Macaca fascicularis: one gene and its partners. The protein of the gene in region 2 interacts with the protein of the main gene of each other region in a pairwise test. Links are inferred from orthologs where the notes say so. Each region holds a gene or a part of one and is shown on either strand. Other genes may lie near its edges. The genes, in order: VIM, PPL, AKT1, ZSCAN1, RAB3IP and ALAS1.

Region 1 (2,849 bases), on a different chromosome or scaffold from region 2:
CAGAACCATTTACAGACCTTCTGCAATAATTTCCATTAGTGGCAAATGGCGACCACTATAATTTTTGGTGGAGAATACAAGTACCAAGTCCTTCATATGAGAAGCAATGATATATGCAAGCTAAAACCTTCAAGAGCTCCATCAAGTCCATTTTGAGTCTGTCTTGATAATTCATTTTCTTTGCATTAAGGTATAAATTTTTACTCACTCAGCATTTTGTTCAGGTTATCACCATGAGCTTAGTCAACAAAATGAGTCATTATTTTCCCTCTTTTACTGCAGGGTTGGTACTCACGGTTCCTTTAAGGGCATCCACTTCACAGGTGAGGGATTGCACCTGTCTCCGGTATTCATTGGACTCCTGCTTTGCCTGGCGTAGGGCGTCATTGTTCCGGTTGGCAGCCTCGGAGAGGTCAGCAAACTGTTAGGAAGAAAACAGAAATGTAGATTGCTCACATTCAAGTCTTTTGATTCTCTTAGAAAAAAAATCGTATTTCTCACTGAATGTCTTCCAGTATAGGTTTAAATTTCTGTTTTAAAGTCAGGGAAAGAGCAGTGGAGTACTGACATTAATATTTTCAAAGTTCACTCTACTATGCTCATTTCAACACAGTGGACGTCAAAGGTATGGCATTGGGGTTTACTTGGAGGCAAGGTTAGGGAAAAGGGAGTCTGCTATTCTGAACGAGGTGATGTGGCCAGGTGTGGTGGCTCACACCTGTAATCCCAACATTTTGGGAGGCTAAGGCGGGTGGATCACCTGAGGTCAGAAGTTTGAGAGCAGCCTGATCAACATGGTGAAACCCCATCTCTACTAAAAAGACAAAAATTAGCCAGACATGGTGGTGCTTGCCTGTGGTCCCAGCTACTTAGGAGGCTGAGACAGGAGAACCACTTGAACTTGGGAGGCGGAGGCTGCCGTGTGCCAAGATGATGCCACTGCGCTTCAGCCTGGGCAGTAGAGCAAGACTCTGTCTCATAAATATACATATATATATATAAAGGAGGTGATGTGAGTGGTGGGAAGGCCGTGGCGACAAACACAATGTGAGCAAGAAGTCAAAGCCAGCTTTGCATTGGAGCTAGAGGATATTTAGGAATCGCACACAGGTATGGGGTATTGAGAACACAATGCTTTTCTTTTGTTCAAGCCACACTGATTTGTTTCCTACCTTGGACTTGTACCATTCTTCTGCCTCCTGCAGGTTCTTGGCAGCCACACTTTCATATTGCTGACGTACGTCACGCAGGGCAGCCGTGAGGTCAGGCTTGGAAACATCCACATCGATCTGGACATGCTGTTCCTGAATCTGAGCCTGCAGCTCCTGGATTTCCTGCAAAAAGAACAGACAGACGGTCAGCTGTGCCAGCCGTGGGGGCTGCCTTACCCTCATTCATTCCCCAAAAGTCACTCCACTAACCTCTTCATGGAGTTTCTTCAAAAAGGCAATCTCTTCTTGCAAAGATTCCACTTTGCGTTCAAGGTCAAGACGTGCCAGAGACGCATTGTCAACATCCTATTTTGAACAGAGAAAAGACAGGACATGGAGGATGTAAAAGTCTATGGCTTATCTCATTTATTTGTCTTAGATTAACCATCTGAACCTAGTCTCCTTACTATAGAAAAGGTGTTGACACATTTTATGACCCTTGAATAGGTTTATAAATCATTCAGTGCTATAATATGCTGTGCTTTCTCCTGCTCACTAATATATTTTAATTGTGACCCCTTGTGTTTTACTCAAGGTGGTGAATGGACAATTTTAAAATAAATAAACGTCCACACACATGGTAAACTGCACTCAATCATGACTGAATCCACATTTTACCTGTGACATTTTAAAATTATTTTTTAAGGCTGGTCATGGTGGCTCTTGCTTGTAATCCCAGCACTTTGGGAGGCCGAGGCGGGTGGATCACTTGAGGTCAGGAGTTTGAGACCAGCCTAGCCAACATGGCGAAACCCCATCTCTACTGAAAATACAAAAATTAGCTGGGTGGGTGGCACACACCTGTAGTCCCAGCTACTTGAGAGGTTGAGGCAGGATAATTTCTTCAACCCTAGGAGGCAGAGGTTGTAGTGAGCTGACATAGCGCCACTGCACTCCAGCCTGGGCAACAGAGTGACACTCTGTCTCAAAAAAGAAAGTAATTCCTTTAATTTAATTACTTTTTAAATCTAGAAAATCTATGCCACAACATTGTTAAGATTTGTTTTGTAATTTCATGGAATAACATGATGATAGAGGTGGACAAATTTTCATAACTTCATGTACACTTGAGTACATGGAGAACAGAAACTTGTGCTTCAAGAGTTTTAGCTTTTTTTCCCCACTCAAATCTTTTGAAACTTATCCTTAGGCTCCAAAGCAAATATGCAATCATGTGGCATCCATTGTACAAGGCTAGATTTATATTCAATAATAACCCAATTCAGGATATGCTGCCAAAGATTCAGTTCAGGAAAAATTGGAAAAGAAATGTAACTCTGAACTGTATTTTCTCTGCTTTCTCTGATGGATTTTTCTTCTAAAACTCCTTTGACTCATCCTACAAAGGCGTGTCTTTTTCGCTTGCCACTGTATCCGTTCAGTTGGCCTGTTTCAGAATGACTGGTCAAACTTGCAGAGAATGAAACTACATGAAGGATTTTTGCTGATTCAGCTGTCCTTCTATGTTTCCATTTGTAAAGCTCAACATTCCAATTCAGAACATGTAATCTTGCAACTAAGATTTTATTTCCTCTCAAAAGGATGCGTGAGGATTGTTTATCTTGTCAGCAATTATATTTGGAGTTCAGTTTATAGCCTTATGGTCTTAAACTGTTGAGACTTTTCTATCACCTTAGT
Region 2 (3,500 bases):
CAGGCCGAGGACGCAGCTGCTCCTCTGCCCCGTGACTTGCCCTGTGGACTGCAGCCCAGGATGCCAGCTGTGCTCAGCAAGAGATACTGGGAACATGGATTGTTAGGTGTTTTTTTTTTTTTTAAGAGATGGGGCTTGCAACATTGTCCACGTTGGACCTAAACTCCGGGGCTCAAGCAAGCCCACCCCAGCCTCCTGAATGGCTGGTGTTACAAGCATGTGCCACTGCACTGTCTATTGCAGATATTTGATCTTAAAATGCTGGCATTTGAAATCCCATAGGTCACACAGATCCCGTGAATAGCTCGGATTTGTCCTGCGGGCCTCCATTTGCAATTCCCAGTTTGTCACACTGGGCATTCCAAACCCAGGGAGACGGGATGCTGGTGTCCTCGTCTGTCCGGATGGGGTGGGTGGATGGGCCTGATGCCCTCACCTGCTCAGAGAAGGACTTCTGGGATTTGGGCCCCAGACTCACCGCCAGCTCTTGCCCCTTGCTGTCCAGGATGCAGCTACTCTCGGGCACTGTGTCATCCTGATTCAGATGGTTCTCGTGTGTGGCCAGCAACTCCCAGCCCTGCTGCAGGCTCTTCTCCAGGCGGTTGGCCACGTCAACTCTGAGGACACCAGTCAGGCGTCAGGGGATACCCACCTGGTCCCCTGACGCCACCCCAACCTCCATGTTGCCTGTCTGCCACCCACTTTTCCTGGGCCAAGTCCAGCAGCTGCGCCAGGCGCTCGTATTTCTGGTTGGTGTCCTCCACCCGGGTCCTCAGCAGGGGTGCGGTGCCACTGCCCGGGAGGGCCTGGATGAAGGCTTCGCCCTCAGCCGCGCTCCGAGTCTTCTCAGGCTCAATCCGCAGTAGCTCATTGGTGATGTTCTGTGGGGACCAGGGCCCCTCAGTTTTGGACACAGCCAGGCAGCCCCTTCCCCCGAGGATGTGGCCAGGGTGGGCACACATTCCCACATCAGGGACAGTGGAAGCAGCTGGAAAGGCCTGGCACACTCTGGGGCTCTGATGCGGCGTCTGGACGCCAGCCTGAGGGCTGCATCTTTCACAAGCATCCCAGGGAACCGCTGAGGTGGACTGTGGACTAGTGCCACCAAAAGCACCCAGGCAGCTGCCGGGCCTGTGCTGTCCTAAGCACTGCACGTGAACGCTTCTGTTCAATAACCTTTCCAGCAACCCTGGGAGGTGAGTACTACGACTCCACCCAATCACGGGTGGGGGCGTGATGACTCCCAGCAACTTAGGAAGGGACTTGTGGGGTCAGGTTACACCCGAGACCCGCATCCTCTCACCCTGACTCGGCCCTCACTGTGAGGCCCCATCAGGGACTAGGGCACTTCTCCAATCCCAGATCCCCCTCTGTAAAATTGGAGTGCTACTCCCTGCCTCAAAGGGCTGCCTTGAGGATGTGGGAGACTGTGTAGGAAAGGAGGTGGGTGGTGGTGGCCTTGCCACGTTGCCCCCGGCATCAGCTCACCCTGTCCTTGCCACCGCCCTGCAAGCAGGGTCAACCCATCCTACTGAAGAGGCCTGGGGTTTAGCTAAAATGTCTGCGGTCAAATCAGCCAGTGACCCAGTCCTGCGGAATTCCACAGCCCATGTGCCGCGCCAGGCGTCAGATCGACAAGCCATGCCGGGACAGTGCAAGCCTTGGCTCTTTCTCCTGGGGATATGTCTGGAAAGAGCCTGGCGGCCTGGTCCTTGGTCTGGAAGCTGGGGAGGTGATGAGGGCAGCCCTGCCAGTTCCACGACTCGGGACCCGGTTACATGCAGCAGGCTGTCCCTGTCAGACACCTGCAGTGAATGTCCTAAGACCCCACGGGGGGCCGGGCGCGGTGGCTCAAGCCTGTAATCCCAGCACTTTGGGAGGCCGAGACGGGCGGATCACGAGGTCAGGAGATCAAGACCATCCTGGCTAATATGGTGAAACCCCGTCTCTACTAAAAATACAAAAAACTAGCCGGGCGTGGTGGTGGGCGCCTGTAGTCCCAGCTACTCGGGAGGCTGAGGCAGGAGAATGGCGTAAACCCGGGAGGCGGAGCTTGCAGTGAGCTGAGATCCGGCCACTGCACTCCAGCCTGGGCGACACAGCGAGACTCCGTCTCAAAAAAAAAAAAAAAAAAAAGACCCCACGGGGAAAAGACCTCAAATAGGGGCCGCCAGGGGGCCAGTGCAGGGCTCCCCAGGCCCCGCCTGTGCTCCTGACCCACAGGTACCTTAAGGTCTTTGGCCCGCTCAGCACTGTCCTGCACAGCCCGGCCTTGCTCCAGCGGTGGCCGCAGGATCCCTGTGATGGCCTTCTCCTGCCGGTCCAGGTCTCTGGCCACCTTGTCCAAGCCAGCCAGCAGCTGCCGCCCTTGTAGGTCAGAGGCATCTGTGGAGGGAGGGAGGACACAGGCAGGTGTGACAATGGGCCAGGGGTGTGAGGCTCAGGGAGGGACCTAGGCACCCAGCCCCCCACCTCCTGCCAGGCCCCTGCCATCTCATCCACAGCATATACCCTGGGTCCAGCCCCTCCCTGGCACCCTCAGAGCCTCAGGCGAGTGGCCCTGGCACCCACCTCCAGGGTTCTCGGTCTTCAGCACCTCATACCGCTGCTGCAGCGTGCGTTTGCTCCCGGCTGCCTTCTGCTGCACGCTCCGGTACTGGCTGCCCAGGCTGTGAGGACAGAAATGAGCTGGGAACCTGGGCAGCCCACCACCCCTTGCACCCACAGAGACACGACAGCAGACTGGCTGGGCAGACACCCCAGAGGAGCCTGACAGCTCCTTAGATGCAGACAGCGAGTGCTCACTGTCGTGCTGGCCTTTGTGTGCTCCTGGGCTCAGAACTCCTCCTCCTTCCCCTTCTTCATAGGAAGTCTTAAACTACCTAAAATTGTCCAATAATCTCCACCAAGATGTTACCTCTGAGGGAGCATACACAGTAGGTGCTCAATAAATACATGAATGAATAAATGAAGGCATTCCTTGAATCATCCACTCATTCAGCAAGGAGTTCCTGGGCACCAACTTTCCACCAGGTACTTAACTAGGCCCTGGAGAGAGGAAATTCAAGGAGCCCAACGAGACTGACACATATGATAGTCAATAAAAAGTGGTGTGTGCAGTGGAAGAAGGTGCCTGGGAGCAAAGAGGAGGCAGCCCTTATTCCAGCTGAGTCCACAGTCGAGGGGCTGGGAGCTGCAGGTACAGGGAGCAGTGCGTGTGGGAGCCAGGGGCCCTTAGAAACTGCTTGCTGGACGAAGCCAAGAGCTGGATATTCATGTTCAGCAAGTCAGTCGGCCCACGATCTGCCCCTCTCCTGCGTGAACCTCCAAGGGGGTACAGATGGAGAGTGTCAGCAACCCCCCGCTCCCCACAGGCTGAGTCCAAATGCCCAGGGCTATGAATGGGGCCTGAGAAGCCGTGGGGGTGGGGCTGGTCCATGCAGACTCCCGCCTTTGCCCTTGTACCTGTCAGCCAGAGCCAGGGCCTCAGGGTCTGTGGG
Region 3 (3,500 bases), on a different chromosome or scaffold from region 2:
GAAGCTGCCCTCACAGCAGCCCAGCAGGCGACAGGAGGTAGTGCGGCCCAGCTCTGAGACCCTCCCTGCTACCAGTAGGTGATGACTTTATTTTTGCTTTTTCTTTCTTGTTTTCTTATTTTTATTAGTCTTCTTGTAAATTGGGAAAGGGGGAGACTGTGGAACAGGGTGCACAGGATGAGCGCACCCTGCCTCCATGGCTCAGGGACTACAGGATCGCAGCCTCCTGGCATCTGGCTGCAGAGAGGACTCTCGATGACCCAGGATCAAGGGTGACTATAAGGCAATGTGCACATGTGAGGAGCTGCCAGAGAGCCCCTCAGGTCCCACAGTCAAGGATCCCCTCAAGCACTGCCCCACCCAAGTCTGGCCTGGGCACCAGCACTGTCCATTGTCAATTAGCAAGGTCTCTGGTCAAGGCTGGGCAGAGGCTGAGCACTGCCCAGGCCCCCCATACCCTTGAAGGGCAGGGCAGGGCTGGAGGGTGGCAGGCCTCAGGGCAGGAACTGGGACCAGGGCCAGGGCACCCTGTGTTAAATGGGAGGACAGGTGCCCAGCTGGGTCCCAGGGCTGCCCAGCCTGACCAGCTGCACATGGCCTGGGACAGGCATTCAGGGGAGGGGCAGGCTGGGAACTGGGCAGAAGCACACCTGGTGACAGGGCACCCAGCACCTCAGAGTGCAGGATTCTGAACCTAGCCAGCAGACCCCATCAGCCAGGGTGACGGCCAGGGCTCCTGAAAGATGAGCACCCAGGATGGCGACTCATGTAGACAGAGCTGCCTCCCTCCAGGGCGGACTCCCCCATGTGCCAGGAAAGTAGGTGCTGTCCCGTCCCTGCACAGCCAGAAAGTAGGGCTGGGCTCTCCTTGCAGCATAAAGGATTGAGATCAGACAACAGGAGGAACTGGTAGAGAGCAAGGAGCAGCACCCCTGGTCCACCGCCAGCCAGCCTTCACTGCACAGCATCAGGGAAGGGACCCCCAAGGCTGGCACTCAGAGTGTGACACATCTCTGAGGGGAGGAGGAAATGAGGAGGACCAGGCCAGTTTCCTGGAGGAAGCCAGCAGTGCCAGAGCTTCTGAGCAGCAGGCACTGAGGTTGCTGCAGCAAGGCCCTCCTTGTACCAGGACTGCAGCAGGCTCCCGAGGTGAGGGCAGGTGTGTGGGAAATCCGGCGAGCATGCCACGTGCATGCGTGAGTGTGGATATGCGGGAAGCAGCCGCACCTTCTTCTCATACACGTGCTGCCACACGATGCCGGCAAAGAAGCGATGCTGCATGATCTCCTTGGCGTCCTCAGAGCCCCCGCCAAGCCTGCGGGTAGCAAACAAGGCCACGGTGTCGGTACTGCCACCCGCCCAGGCCCCAGGCTCAGACCCCTTCCTCCTGTGATGTAGGGCCCGCCGGACAGGACGTTCTGGGGCCAGGGAGGGCAACCGGTGGTGCAGCATCCCTGAGCAGCTGTGGGGAGCAAAGCACCCCAGGGCTCACGGCAGGCAGGGGCTTCCTGAGTTGGGGGTGTGGGGGCTGCAGGGTTGGGGATGGAGGCCCAACTGACCCTGCCCTACCCAGCCACTCTGCCTGTGCCTGAGGCTTTGGGGATCAGCCCTGGCCAAGGACATCAAGCTCTGGCTATCAGTGTAGTCTGGGAGGTGCCAGGACCGCCTGGCACAGGGGCAGGTGCAGCCTGGGGGTGAGGGGATGGAGGTGGAGCCTGCAGCCGGGATGGGTGGCCCTCACCTCTGCTTGGGGTCCTTCTTGAGCAGCCCTGAGAGCAAGGACTTGGCCTCAGGACCAAGCGTGCGCGGGAAGCGGATCTCCTCCATGAGGATGAGCTCAAAAAGCTTCTCGTGGTCCTGGTTGTAGAAGGGCAGGCGGCCGCACATCATCTCATACATGACCACGCCCAGCCCCCACCAGTCCACCGCACGGCCGTAGTCATTGTCCTCCAGCACCTGCACGGGCGGCAGATGGGCAGGACTCGGCATCAGGGGGTGTCCGGGGGAGGTGTCGTGACGTGCTTGGGGCACAGAGAGGACACAGCTTTGCGTGTGCTCGGGACGTGGGGACACAGCGACGCGTATGCACACAGGTGGGGCGCACACCTCGGGGGCCAGGTACTCAGGTGTGCCGCAGAAGGTCTTCATGGTGGCGCCGTCCTTGATCCCCTCCTTGCACAGCCCGAAGTCTGTGATCTTAATGTGCCCGTCCTTGTCCAGCATGAGGTTCTCCAGCTAGGGGAAAGGTGGCCTCAGGTCAGTGCCGCCAGGCTCCCAGGGCCCTGCCCCCACCCCGAGTGCCCGCCGGCGCACCTTGAGGTCCCGGTACACCACATTCTTCTCCGAGTGCAGGTAGTCCAGGGCTGACACGATCTCGGCGCCATAGAAGCGGGCCCGGTCCTCAGAGAACACACGCTCCCGGGACAGGTGGAAGAAGAGCTGTGGGAAGCGCGACCTGAGGCACAGCTGTGGCCGGGGCCTCCGCCCCCACAGCCTGCAGGGTTGGGGTTTCTCAGGCAGGGGCTCAGGGCATTGGGCACAGGGAAGGGACCAGCCCCCAGAGGGCACGGGGGCCTGGAAAGTCTCAGAAGCCCTAACTCAGCAGGAACAAGTCACCCCACAGCAGGCAGCTGCCTGGGCAGGCGTCATACCACCCACCCAGCAGGGAGCACCGTCTGGTGCTGTGGAGAGTAGCCGAGGTTCCGGGAAGGACCAGCCCCACTATGGGTGGCCCAGCTGCCAGGGCTGGGTCCACAGGCCGTGAGGCCCATCCCCCACAGCCCCAGCCCCTACCTCGCCCCCATTGGCGTACTCCATGACGAAGCAGAGGCGGTCGTGGGTCTGGAAGGAGTACTTCAGGGCCTGCAAGGAAGCGGAGCTGGAACTGCAGCCCCACGGGCAGGACAGCAGCCCCACACCACGCTGCCCGATACCATGCTGCTTGATACCATGCCACCCGTAGCCCCACACCATGCTGCCCGACACCACGCTGCCTGATACCATGCTGCTTGATACCATGCCACCCGATACCATGCCACCCGTAGCCCCACGCCACGCTGCCTCACACCACATTGCCCGATACCACGCTGCCCCACACCACGCTGCCCCGCACCACACCCCCACATCACACTGCCTCACACCACATTGTCCCACACCACACACCCCCACATCACACTGTCTCACACCACATTGTCCCACACCACACACCCCCACATCACACTGCCTCATGCCACACCCCCACACCACACCATCAGGCTGGGCCCTGGCAGCCCCTGAGGTGCCAAGGAGTGTTTGAAAGGTGAGCAAAGTGGCCTGGGCTCAGGTCTCCAGGGCGGGTTGGGACCTCAACAGGGGGCAGTGCTCCCAGCACCAGAGCCCTGGCAAGGGAGGATGCACCCTCCCAGGCAGAGCCACCTTCCTGCCTTCCACCACAGGCGGCTGTGCTTTTAAAGCAAAGGCCCCTTCTGCAGGAGAATCATCCCCAAACACAGTGACCTGGA
Region 4 (3,500 bases), on a different chromosome or scaffold from region 2:
TGTGTTTAATGCCACTGAACTGTGCATTTTTAATGACTGAAATGGTAAATTTTATGTTTCCCAAAAAAGGAAAAAAAACAAAACCCTGTTTATCTGTTAGGTTCCAAGGGGGCTGAGCTGGCAGGAGGGCAGCCGGGGTCAGCTGTACCCTTCTCTGGAGTTGGAGCTGCCCAGGCCGGCTCCCGCCCTCATGGCCTCAGGGATATCCACAGTGAAATGAAAACCCAGCGGCAGAGTCTGCCCCTGAGTCAGGTGCTCACAGGGAGACCTGGACAAGGCTTCTGAAAGACGAGACGCGAATGAAACTCCTCTTCAAGCCACTTGCAAAACACAGTGTGCAGGACTGACCAGGTTTTGCTGTGGAACTGCTGCTTCTTGGCCGAGATCCTGGGAAGCCATGCTCGGCTCTGGAGCAGGTGTCCAGGATCTTCTGAGAAGCAGCCTGTGTCCTTCAAGAGGAGTCCCATGGTGGCCAGGGGTTGGTGGGGCTGGGGGATGTCCCCCATCTTCTGGTGCCCATCGGTGCCCCCCGGGGACTCAGGGCCGGGTGGCCAAGGCCCGAGGCTGGCCATTCACATGTGGCCGTGGGCCGTGTGGAGTTTCTGATGGTCGATGAGGTGGACCATCCAGGGGAAGGCCTTCCCGCAGACGCTACACTGGAAGGGTCTCTTGGGGCTGCGAGGGGCCACTGAGCCTTGGGCTCCATCCCTGGGTGGGGCAGACTCCCGGGGGCCCTTGCTCCGGGGGACTTTCTTCCTGGGTGGCTCCAACAGGTGGATCTTGCCGTGCTCAGCAAGGACAGAGCTGTGCAGGAAGACCCTGCCACACTCGGGGCACGGAAAGGGCCCTTCCTCGCGATGGGTCTTCTGGTGCTCGATGAAGTGGGTGACCCAGGTGAAGACCATCCCGCAGTCGGCACACTGGAAGGGCCGCCCACCTCGGGGCCCACGCAGCGTTGCTGAGACCGCTGCAGCAGCCTCTTGGGTGCCACCTTTGGTGTGCTTGAGGGATGGCTGGTGGCGGACGCTCTGGTCAGTGTTCCTGTTTCTCCTTCGGGGACTGATTCTCTGAGCACTCGGACCCTTGAGGCTTGAGATCACAGCCCCTTCTGCACGCAGGTCTGAGGAGGGCCCTGCGAGAAGATCCTCAGGCTCGTCCCAGATACATGGCTTCAGAGACAGGCGGGCCCGGGACCCTGTGGAGGGCGAGGGAGACAGGTCACCTGTAGTGAGTGGATGGCTTTGGCATCTCCCTGTGCCCCCCAGGGGCGTGGAGGACCCCAATGACTGAGCCAAGTCTGGGCCCTTCTTCTGCTCAATATGTCCCCTGTGCCCTCTGTTCTGTCCTTTAAGATACAAGGGCACATGTGGCTGGGCGCAGTGGCTTACGCCTATAATCCCAGCACTTTGGCAGGCCGAGGAGCGTGGATCATGAGGTGACGAGTTCAAGACCAGCCTGCCCAACATGGTGAAACCCCATCTCTACTAAAATACAAAAATTAGCCAGGTGTGGCGGTGGGCACCCGTAATCCCAGCTACTCAGGAGGCTGAGGCAGGAGAATCGCTTGAATCCGGGAGGCAGAGGTTGCAGTGAGCCGAGATTGCACTACTGCACTCCAGCCTGGGCAACAGAGCAAGACTCCATCTCCAAAAAAAAAAAAAAAGAAGGGCATGTGTTTTGGGAGCAGATCCCACAGCACTGGCCCCTTGTTCCTACCTGGCTGGCCTTCTGGGTAACCCTGTGCTCCAACACTGTCAGACTGTCTGCCTTGGCTGCTGTTCAGGTGGGGAGGCTGAGGCCCTTCTCGTGGGCTGAACGATGTATGTGGCAGTTCTAGGGGCCCCTGATCTCAGTCCCCACAGGAGGTGTGCATGGTTTCTGGGGGAAGTGTGGAGTTTACCACCGAAGCCCCCAACTCCACCCATTAACAAAGTCTGTGACTTTGGGTTGAGGTGCCAAACTCCATTTCCAACCCTTAATCCACGCAGGAGCCAGACTCACCCAGCAAGCCAGGGGCATGGGGCGCCTCGGCCTCCGCCCTGGTGTGCAGACTCTGCAGGAGCTGGGTGGGCTCCAGCCACTCACTTTCCTCAGGGAGTGCCGGGGCTGCTGCCGCTGCATCCAGAATCAGCTCAGACGCCTGGAATGGCAAGCACAGGACTGTTCGGCAGCTGCCCCTCAGGAGCCGTCCTCCCCACCACCACGGAACAACAAAGGAACGGGCGTCATCCCCAAAGGCTGTCTCCCAGGGCGGTATGTGGTGGCGTGCCTGTTGTTCCCCTGCTTTGGGATGCTGATGCCGGAGGATTGCTTGAGTCCAGGAGTTTGGGACCAGCCTGGGCAACATAGCAAGACTCTGCTTATACAAAAGGATAAGTAACCACTCCCAAGGAGCTCTTACCAGGACCTGAGACATAATTCGAGGGGCCCCTGTACAAAATGGAAATGCAAGTCCCCTTGTTCAAAAATAGTTGATCATTTCAGGACGGTGACAACAGAGCATAAGATGGAGCCAGGGGACCCGTGCCACGGCTCAGGTCACTGTTACCCGCTGGGGCTCCTAACTCCCATCCCCCAAGGCTGCACTGTCCTTGCCCACAAGCCCAGAGAAGGTGGGCGACTGCACAGACTTCACATCCCACCTGCGACCTATGACCTCTGAGGCACTTAACCCTGTCCCGCCCAAAGCGGGGATCACCACTTCCTGGGAGGAGACTGAGCTGTAGTTGAAGAGCAAGAATTCAAAACAGAGGGGCTTGGCTTGGTATCCAGGCTCCAGCTCTGCTCGCTCTGTGACCCTGGCTGAGGAGCTTTAGCTCTCTGGGTTTCCAATGAGGATGTAGGTTCTACGTGCCCAGAGCCTGGTACCATCAAGGGCTCGGCAAACTGCAACAGGGTCGTGTCAAAGGAAAACACAGTGACACTTATCAATGCAAATCAAGTTGTTGGAGGAGGTATGTCGAGTCAAACAAAGCATGAGAAGAGAGACCAGGAGTCAAGCACGCACTGATAAGGTCTTGAGTGGGTCTTCGTTTTCTGCTGCCCCAACCCTGACTGGATGCACAGGGATCTCAGGAAGCTGTCCAAGATTCCCAACAGCTGGGCAGAACCGGAGTGGAGGGATTGCTGGGCTAGAGACAGAGGAGGGAGGGAGAGAGGGAGCTGGTGGCAGGAAGGGAGTTAAGGCACAAGAGTCTTCCTGCTCTCACATTGGGAGTATGTGGATGGTGTGTTTGGCTGGGCTGTTGATTTTTATTTATTATCAAATGCTAGTTTTGATTGTAAAACATGTTGAATTCTGAAATCGTCACCAGAGGAGCCATCATCTGCAAGAGTAAAGGCGGGACTCCCTTTTACGCCTTTTTCCGGTACCTGGCTGCTGGGGGCCACTGTGGACAGTCAGCCTACTCCCTACTTCACCCACCTTGGTGTCTGTGACTAATCAAGGGCAGCAGAGGGGCTGCGTGGAGGGAAGAGTGGGTGGCCTGTGTGTGTGTGTG
Region 5 (3,960 bases), on a different chromosome or scaffold from region 2:
TTCTTCCTCTCCACTACTCAACTATCCTAGCACTTCGTCTTAGTTGACATTCATTAAAATATGTAACGTGTGTTCTACATTTTGAAGAACTTATAAAAGATATGGGAATGATTATAAGGCCCCACCTCCCATATTCCTTAAGAATTGTTTCCTTTAACCCCTACTGTGACTTGCAGAGTAGATGCTCAATTGAGTATATGATTTAAAAAAATCTCTGGTGACACATGAGAATTACATATTACATTAATATTACATATCTCATAAAAGCTAAATTACAAACAGTTCTTCAGCATTATAAGCTACACACAAAGAAGTAATAATGCAGTGATTATAAGCAAATAATTCTTCAGCATTACCACTTATACAGAGTGCAGTGGTTAACAGCACAGACATGGAAGACAAACTGACATCTAATCCAGACCTGTCACTTAATTAATTATATGACTTTGAGCAAACTACATAAGGTCTCAGCGTCTCAATTTTCTCAACTACAAAATAGGGATAAAGTATTATCTCCTAGCTCACTGTGAGAGTGAGTGAGTTAGTATAAAGCTTGTACCAGGACTTGGCTTGATAAGCACTAGACTTCAAAGTAACTGTAGTAGCAAGGCTGGTATCACCGTCATTAGAAAACCTGGGTATTTTTAAACCAGAAATACAAATGGTAACACTTGTCACTCTGTGTGCCTCCTTATAGTTACAAAGTTCTTTAATAGAAAGTGCAGACTGGGAATGTAAGGAATAAGAGCACTAAGTTCCATTTTGGGCAGTTGGATACAGTTTTTAATACCGGCTCTATCACTGGCCAGCTGTACGACCACCTACAACTAAGTAACTACAGACAAGTTACCGCAACTTTCTAAGCCTCCATTTCCTGATTTGTAAAATTTGACAGTCACCTATATCCCAGGAATGTCCAGAGGACTGAGGAGTCAAGGTATGGAAAACAAGCACGCACAGTGCCTTGCACACAAGCAAGCTCACATTGGTTCCTTCTCCCCTTCCCCACATCTCTAATGGAGTATCTTATTAAATCCTCATCTCACCACTATGAAGTTCATATTAGGTTGAAACATAAAAAACAGCAGAATATTAGCAATTTCAACCTAATAGTATTTCCACTGACAAATGGAGAAAATAAGCTCAAATAGGTTAAATGTTTTACTCAAGGTTTTATGCACAGTAAGTGATGGAACTGAACATTAAATAATTTTTCATTCAGCCAGCTCACTAATTTGTTCACTGACTCCTGCTGAGGGGGAAAAAAATATACTAACTACTATAATGCATATAAAACTACTGTAATCTACAAAGTATTTTTTCCTGCCATGTTTAAAAAATGAGGGGGTGAAACAGATTTCTAAGAACATTTCCATTTTAAAAATTATTTGCAGAGGATGTGTGTGTTGGGGGAGGATGAGGGTTTACACAAAATCAAAGGTAAAGAATATTAAAGGAAGCATATGGATAATTACACTAATTCAAAAAGTACAATAGGATCTATTCAGAAAACCCACAAAGCAGCTAAACATTAAATGGCCATCCTGGTGAAAGGTTACAAGTATTCAATACCACAGATGAGTTGTCTGCCAAATACGGAAGGAAGATTTATATTAAACACTTTGGTTCACAAAGGTATACATTAATATATAACATTACTGCAATGGAAAAAAATGAAAGGCTTTTCCTTCAATAGTTAAAAAATGGACTACTTAACTGTATAACTGTTTATTTCTATAAATTCCACAAGGGCTTTAGCATTAGATCACATAAGCCATATCTGGAATACAATGTCCAAACATGAAAAGTCCTATCAAAATGCACAGTACTAGTAAATAAATAACAAATGGTAATAGTACAAGGCCCCATAAAACTGGTGAAATATTTAACAGTATCAAATATTTACTACGATTGGTCTACAACCCTATTCTGCCTCTTTTCTCCTTGATTTGTCATTCACCACTGGGGGAAAAAAAAAAAAAAACCTTCATGAACAACAAAATGAGAAAAAGGATAATGAACAAGAACTGGGTCTTTCAATTGATTTACAAAGGAACAGTTTTGTTGTAATCCTCTTACGGGCCCCTCCTCCAATTATGCAATCATTCCACTGCAAGAGATTACAAGGCTTTTAACCCGACAGTGAAAGGAAGGAGTTGGGGTGAAACATGAGAGTGTATAACAGGTAGCCTCCGAACAGGCAACATTTCCATGAAACTAAATTGCCTCTCAGTAATCAGTACTAACTCAGCGCTCTTGTCTTTCAAGACCTTACCCTTTAGCCATTGCAGATATATCTTTTTTTAATCCCATAACAACCGGCAACTCTTTACATGCTGCGGCTTCCACCCAGCATCAATTCTGGAGCGAGGAAGCTCGCGCTTCCCCGGGCGGTCGGGGCGAGTTTTCAACGCTGGGAGGGCAAAGCCGTGCAATCCCATCCGTGCAGCTCGTCTCAACTCCCCCGAACACAAGTCTGGCTGCAAGGAGCTGCCTCTTCGGACGCGACTCCGGGCGCCTGCCCGGAATTTCCCACCAGGTTTCACCGAAACCTCCCGAGGGTGACCTCTACGCCTCAGCACGGTGCCTCTAGCGTCGTTTCCTAAGACTGGGGCACGAAACCACCCCAGGTCCACAGCTATTGCCCCGTCCACAGCCCTGCCGCGCGGCGCCCGGTGTTGTGAGCGGCTTCCGACTTGTTCGGGAACTCCGTCTTCATCCCCTTCGCGACCCCGGCCTTCCGCTCCCGGCCGCTCCCGCCCGCCGCCAGGTAACCCGCCGGGCTCCGGCTCCCTGCCCCGGGCGCGCGGGACCGCGCAGTTAATGTGTAACGCGCCCGTGCCCGGGGGAGGAGCCGCCGCCCGGCGCCCACCAGCAGCCCAGGGGGCGGCCGGCTGACCCGGGGCGCCGAGGTCCCCCCACACGCCGCCCCCAAGACCCCGGAGCCCAACTGCCCACGCGGAGAGCGCGCTCACCGGGCCGGGGCATCCCGCCAAACCCCCGCGCGCCGCGCCCTCCACGGCGCCGGCACCTGCACCTGCCGCGGCCGCCCCTCCTGGCCGACTCGCCGGAGGCGGGCGCGCGGGCGCCGAGGGGGGCGGTGCTCCACGCTCCGGGCCTCTCCCTCCCGCGGCCGCACTCACCTGACGAACCCACCGCGGCCGCTGCCGGCGCTCACGGGCGCTCACAGAGCCGCAGAGAGCGCGCCCCGAAGCAGCGAGAGGCGGAGGAGGACGGCGAGCCCTTGCCGCTACACTCCACGGTGGCGGGCTCACTACGCCGGCAGCCGCCGAGGGAACGCGGGACTGCGCCTGCGCCGGAAGCGGGGCCGGGGCCCGGGGCCGGGAGCCGGGAGCTGGGAGCGGCCGGTCCTCACGGAGGGTGGGCGGGGCGGGGGGGTGTGGCCGGCAGGGGCGGGGCGGGCCCGGCGTGGGGCCTGGGGGCGGACGCGCTTCCGCGCCCCCTGGCGCCAGGCGGGGCTCGTCGCAGCTGTCACGGGCCTGGCCCCAGGTTCCTCCGCGGGCGGTTTCCCTGGGAACAAGGGCGAGCCCGAGCTGCGCTGTTTCCCGGGGCCCGAGAGGCCACCTCAGGTTGACTTCAGGCATGTTGGGCTCTCCAGAAGGGAGAAGAGGCACCTTCGCCGTGAGTTGAGGACTCCTAGAACCAACCTGAGACTCCGCGGCCATATACATCTTACGACGTGTGTGTGTGTGTGGCGGGGGATGGGAGGGGAGGAATCCTGTAGAACCCAGATCCCATCATTCCAGCAACTGCCAGAGCGTTCGAGAATGTCACGCCTGTACCTGTCTTCTCTCATCTTTTGTGCCAACTGTTTTATCAAACTTCCACCCCACTTTAAGTCTTCCAGGTAGGAAAAATACAGAAAGAGCCAAGATCCCAAAAATCGGAAAAAATAAAGAGGCAGTCATAGTATGTGTCTCTATGTTTAGCAAAAGAGAA
Region 6 (4,152 bases), on a different chromosome or scaffold from region 2:
GTAAAAAAGACATAACTAACTCTTGAAAATAAACCCTATAAAGGATTAAATCCTTTTTGCTTAAAGAAAAACAAAAATTCTTTTCTTACAAGCCCACACCCAGAGAACACGCCTAAGAAAAACCTGTAAAATACTCTCTAGGATTAAGTGGAACCTGAAAAGCCTTGTTCTCTCCTAGCAGAACCAGAGCAAACTAAATTCAACTCCAGTCTCTTTGTTGAAAACAACAACAAATGTATATATAAATAAAGATACATGGCATGATCTCAGCTCACTGCAACCTCTACCTCCTGGTTTCAAGCAATTCTCATGCCTCAGCCTCCCAAGTAGCTGGGATTTCAGGTGTATACCATCACGTCCAGCTGATTTTTGTATTTTTTTGTAGCAATGGAGTTTCACCACGTGGCCAGGCTGGTCTTGAACTCCTGGCCTCACATGATCCAACCGCCTCAGCCTCCCAAAGTGCTCAGATTACAGGAGTGAGCCACTGCACACAGCCAAGATAAATTTGTTTTTAAAATCACTAATACTGTACGATTTCATTTATATGAGGTACCTAGAATAGTCAAATTCATAGAGACAGAAAGCAGAATGGTGGTTGCCAGGGGTTGGGGAGAGAGGAATGGAGAGTTACTATTTGATGGGTATAGAATTTCAGTTTGAGAAGACAAAAAAAGTTCTGGAGATGGATGGTGGTGATCGTCACACAACAATATGAATGTACCACTGAACTGTACATTTTTAAATGCTTAAAATGGTAATTTTTCTTGGGCATTTTACCACAATAAAACAAAAACTTTTAAGGAAAAAAACAAGTCACTACTTTAAAAAGCCAAAGGTGCCAGGCACGGTGGCTCATGCCTGTAATTCCAGCACTCTGGGAGGCTGAAGCAGGTGGATCAGGTCAGGAGTTCAGGACAAGCCTGGCCAACAAGGTGAAACCCTACTAAAAGTACAAAAATTATCCGGGTGTGGTGGTGCATGCCTGTAATTCCAGGTATTTGGGAGGCTGAGGCAGGAGAATCGCTTGAACCTGGGAAGTGGAGGTTGCAGTAAGCCGACATTGCATCACTGCACTCCAACCTGGGGAACAGAGCAAGACTCTGTCTCAAAAAAGAAAAACTAAATAAATAAAAAGCTGAAGGCCAAATGTTTAATGAGGGAAATTAGAAGGCCAAATGTTTAATGAGGGAAATTAGAACACTCCAATTTAATATTTATGTGAACGAGGCACTGAGGAAACACTAAAATCCCAACAGACACTAACATGCAATCCAAAAACCTGCCATGTGCAACACTGGCCACTGTTTCACCTTTAAAGATGGAAAGGCTAAAAGTGCCTACCCTTGGGGTGACAATCATATGAGATAATCTGTGCACAGAGCAGCCCTTTGTGAGTGACTGTGGCCCTCACCACCACTGTGGGGACTGCTTCTAGTCTACCAATGAGCACACACACCTGTACCTGCTCCTTCATTGTCAGTGACACTTACTCTCACTGGCCGGAGAGGTTTCTTTGATCTGTTGGTAGTGTACTGCTGCAGTGGACAATGCCCGAGGGGCTGGCTTGGCCCCAACTTCCATCATCTTGGGGCAGTTTTGGGCATAGAACAACAGAGATTTGCCTGCTTTCTGCAGAAAGGCCTGGGGGACTCGGGATAAGAATGGGCAGCGGCGAACAACAGTCTCCATGTTCAAGAAGTATGCTGGCTCCTGTGGAAAGACTGATGATGAGTGACATCAACAGCTGTTAATAATCAGGCAAATATCACCGCAAGCTCATTGGATTCAGGTGCCACCTGCAGTTTCTATAAAGGGTACCCTGGAATACTAACACTTCTCCCTCAAAAATGCCTAAGGACAGCACTGATGTGAGACTCAGCTAAGGAATGGTGACCACATTTTACACGGGTCACCAACTTCTTCATTCCCCAGCTCTACACAAAGCAACTTCACCAAATGAAGTAAATACTGACAGTACATAGCCAAGGGGGCAGAAGGATGAAGCACAAGTCAAAAACAGGTTTGGGAGGCCAGAGGTTTCTTAGGGAGATGCACAGTGCAGATAAGACATCTTGGCTTACATCCAGGTGGAGAAGGGATGTTAGGGAAGAAGCCACTCATCTATCCAGACAGGGAAGACTATTAGGGATCCTGACTTTCTCCTGGTCCCCGCATCCCCGAAAGCACTCCTAAACCCGAGGAAGGAGTCCAGCATGCCCCCGAGTCCCTGAAGCAAGGATTCCTCCGCGGTCGTGTCCCCACAGCGGGAAGAACTGGGCATAACTGAGAAAGGAGGGGCACAAACGAGGGTAGGGGTATGAGGACCAGCGCCTTGGGACTCACTGGGGACGCGCAGGGGCTATAAAGTTGAGGGAGTTGAGTCTGGAGAAAGAAGGCAGTACTCGGGCAGTGGGGGTCAGAGGTGACCCGCGGTCGAGGTCTCGAGAATGACGGGAGGGGTATGAGAAGGGAATTCTAAAGCGGCGGGTTCAACCGGGAATAGCTGGAAGGGGCCGAAAGGGGAAAACTGAGGCGGCCGTCTAGGCAAAAAATCTGGAGGATAAACGCTGACCTCAAGGCGGCGGATGACTGGGACAGTGGGGGATGGGGTCCCAGCGCCCCGGGGAGAGGTGCCCCGGCTGACAGGACACGCGGGGGCTTCCCCGGCCGGCGCCGCACCTACCGCGCGGGCCCTCACCTGCGCTGGGGACTCTGCGGAGGCGGCGGCGAAGGAGGCGGGCACTCAAGCCGAGAAGTCCAAACGAACCGTTCGTTGCCCTTGTCCAGGAGCAGCCCCAGGCCGCGATCGCCGGCGCCTTAATATATAGCAGGAGTGACCGCTGCGCATGCGCCGTGGGCGCTGCCTTCTTCCGCGCAGGCGCGCCGCGTCGCCCTCGGCGAGCTGGGCGGGCGGGGCAGAGAAGCCCACTTCTTTGGCTCTGCGGTTATCCGTGCAGCCGGGGATTCCCCGGCTCGCCTGCCGGGAGGAGGAAGGGCCAGGCGGTGAGCGGACGAGGTCTTTTTTCCCGACCTCATCCTGCACTCTCGTGCTGCCTCCCCACCAACTACCCTGGGCTTCAGAACCCTACGCCCCGATTGTGGGGTATAAAATGGCAAGGTCGAGGCGGCTAGGGCCAAGTTGGGGGCTACAGGGTTGTTAAGATGGGTGTCTTGGACCTGGAGGAAGAAGGAGATCCAAGGGGTTCTGGGCCGAGGTGTTAAGCAGGATCCATCCCATCTGCGGCTTGCTTTGGAAACTGTGAACAAGGGCTTCCCGAAGGAGGTGGAGCTGATTGTATCCCCTACAGATGGAGTGGTCCTGGCAGGATGCGGAAGAAGCGGGACACTCAGCTGTGGCACTTTCCGGTCTAAGATGATCCAGAGGAGGCAGAGGAACAGGGCTGGATGGAACCCATCCATTCCACAGCTCTGAGCACTTGGGGCGGAGGGGGAGGCACAGGGCCTGACAATAGTTAGCATGTAACAAATATTAGCCACTATTTTTATTTTCCATCTGGGGTTGTCTGAAGCCCCTTGCTGGCCACCCTGGGCACCAGCAGGGTGGCTTAGGCCTCCATCCCAAAGGTCAGCGTTGGGCCATACCTCCATTGAGTTTCTCTGGCACAACACATGAAGTGTGGGGCTTGGCAAACCCCTCTCGGGAATGCCAGTCTGGCTTCCTTGCTCCACACCCTTCCCAGCTTGGCTTGGGCTGAGTTGGGCTGGGCCTGTGCCAGGCTCAGAGGTACTCTCCATTCTTGAGGAAAGGGCCGTCGAGAGTATTCCTTTCCCAGCTACGCATTAACAAGAGGGACAAAGTCCAGAATGATGGTGACCAGGGTGTGTCCAGGTACTTTGCATTTCCCTCTCTGAGCATCCAGCTGGCTGCAAGGCAGGTGAGGTGAGTCTCCACCTTCAGAGGAGGCACCTGGGTTCAGAGTGGCAGTGGGACCTGTCCAGGATGCGTGCTTTGGTCTGAGAGCTCAAGACCCAGTTCTGTGCCATTCTGCCAAGGAATCCTGGGCAGTGCCCATCACCCAGAGAAGATGAGAGAGAAAAGGTCAGCACTTGGACCCAAGTGCAGCTGTAAGTGGGAACAGAATAAGGATATTGAGTGCTTTGCTCATCTTTGGGCCTTGCTTTCCTTAG

What was found.
Region 1: the proteins of PPL (region 2) and VIM interact in binary tests that used the Homo sapiens proteins (3 or more experiments, as listed by UniProt). The link is inferred for Macaca fascicularis from reciprocal best matches to the Homo sapiens genes PPL and VIM.
Region 3: the proteins of PPL (region 2) and AKT1 interact in a two-hybrid assay, tested with the Homo sapiens proteins (2 studies listed by BioGRID and IntAct). The link is inferred for Macaca fascicularis from reciprocal best matches to the Homo sapiens genes PPL and AKT1.
Region 4: the proteins of PPL (region 2) and ZSCAN1 interact in binary tests that used the Homo sapiens proteins (3 or more experiments, as listed by UniProt). The two-hybrid records come from large-scale screens. The link is inferred for Macaca fascicularis from reciprocal best matches to the Homo sapiens genes PPL and ZSCAN1.
Region 5: the proteins of PPL (region 2) and RAB3IP interact in binary tests that used the Homo sapiens proteins (3 or more experiments, as listed by UniProt). The two-hybrid records come from large-scale screens. The link is inferred for Macaca fascicularis from reciprocal best matches to the Homo sapiens genes PPL and RAB3IP.
Region 6: the proteins of PPL (region 2) and ALAS1 interact in binary tests that used the Homo sapiens proteins (3 or more experiments, as listed by UniProt). The two-hybrid records come from large-scale screens. The link is inferred for Macaca fascicularis from reciprocal best matches to the Homo sapiens genes PPL and ALAS1.

What each region holds. Positions count from the first base shown.
Region 1 is NC_088383.1:18,140,902-18,143,750, reverse strand, and holds part of VIM (vimentin), read right to left. Parts: intron 1,518-2,849; coding exon 1,422-1,517; intron 1,335-1,421; coding exon 1,173-1,334; intron 422-1,172; coding exon 296-421; intron 1-295. UniProt on the Homo sapiens protein: Vimentins are class-III intermediate filaments found in various non-epithelial cells, especially mesenchymal cells. Vimentin is attached to the nucleus, endoplasmic reticulum, and mitochondria, either laterally or terminally.
Region 2 is NC_088394.1:5,706,401-5,709,900, forward strand, and holds part of PPL (periplakin), read right to left. Parts: coding exon 3,466-3,500; intron 2,670-3,465; coding exon 2,572-2,669; intron 2,386-2,571; coding exon 2,228-2,385; intron 882-2,227; coding exon 703-881; intron 618-702; coding exon 479-617; intron 1-478. UniProt on the Homo sapiens protein: Component of the cornified envelope of keratinocytes. May link the cornified envelope to desmosomes and intermediate filaments. May act as a localization signal in PKB/AKT-mediated signaling.
Region 3 is NC_088381.1:172,965,669-172,969,168, forward strand, and holds part of AKT1 (RAC-alpha serine/threonine-protein kinase), read right to left. Parts: intron 2,863-3,500; coding exon 2,794-2,862; intron 2,440-2,793; coding exon 2,314-2,439; intron 2,236-2,313; coding exon 2,107-2,235; intron 1,957-2,106; coding exon 1,742-1,956; intron 1,316-1,741; coding exon 1,228-1,315; intron 1-1,227. UniProt on the Homo sapiens protein: AKT1 is one of 3 closely related serine/threonine-protein kinases (AKT1, AKT2 and AKT3) called the AKT kinase, and which regulate many processes including metabolism, proliferation, cell survival, growth and angiogenesis.
Region 4 is NC_088393.1:65,772,520-65,776,019, reverse strand, and holds part of ZSCAN1 (zinc finger and SCAN domain-containing protein 1), read right to left. Parts: intron 2,141-3,500; coding exon 2,002-2,140; intron 1,196-2,001; coding exon 573-1,195; 3' UTR 1-572. UniProt on the Homo sapiens protein: May be involved in transcriptional regulation.
Region 5 is NC_088385.1:76,514,753-76,518,712, reverse strand, and holds the start of RAB3IP (rab-3A-interacting protein), read right to left. Parts: upstream 2,801-3,960; 5' UTR 2,314-2,800; coding exon 2,276-2,313; intron 1-2,275. UniProt on the Homo sapiens protein: Guanine nucleotide exchange factor (GEF) which may activate RAB8A and RAB8B. Promotes the exchange of GDP to GTP, converting inactive GDP-bound Rab proteins into their active GTP-bound form.
Region 6 is NC_088376.1:115,270,649-115,274,800, reverse strand, and holds the start of ALAS1 (5-aminolevulinate synthase, non-specific, mitochondrial), read right to left. Parts: upstream 2,801-4,152; 5' UTR 2,702-2,800; intron 1,725-2,701; exon of another isoform or gene 1,714-1,724; 5' UTR 1,693-1,713; coding exon 1,494-1,692; intron 1-1,493.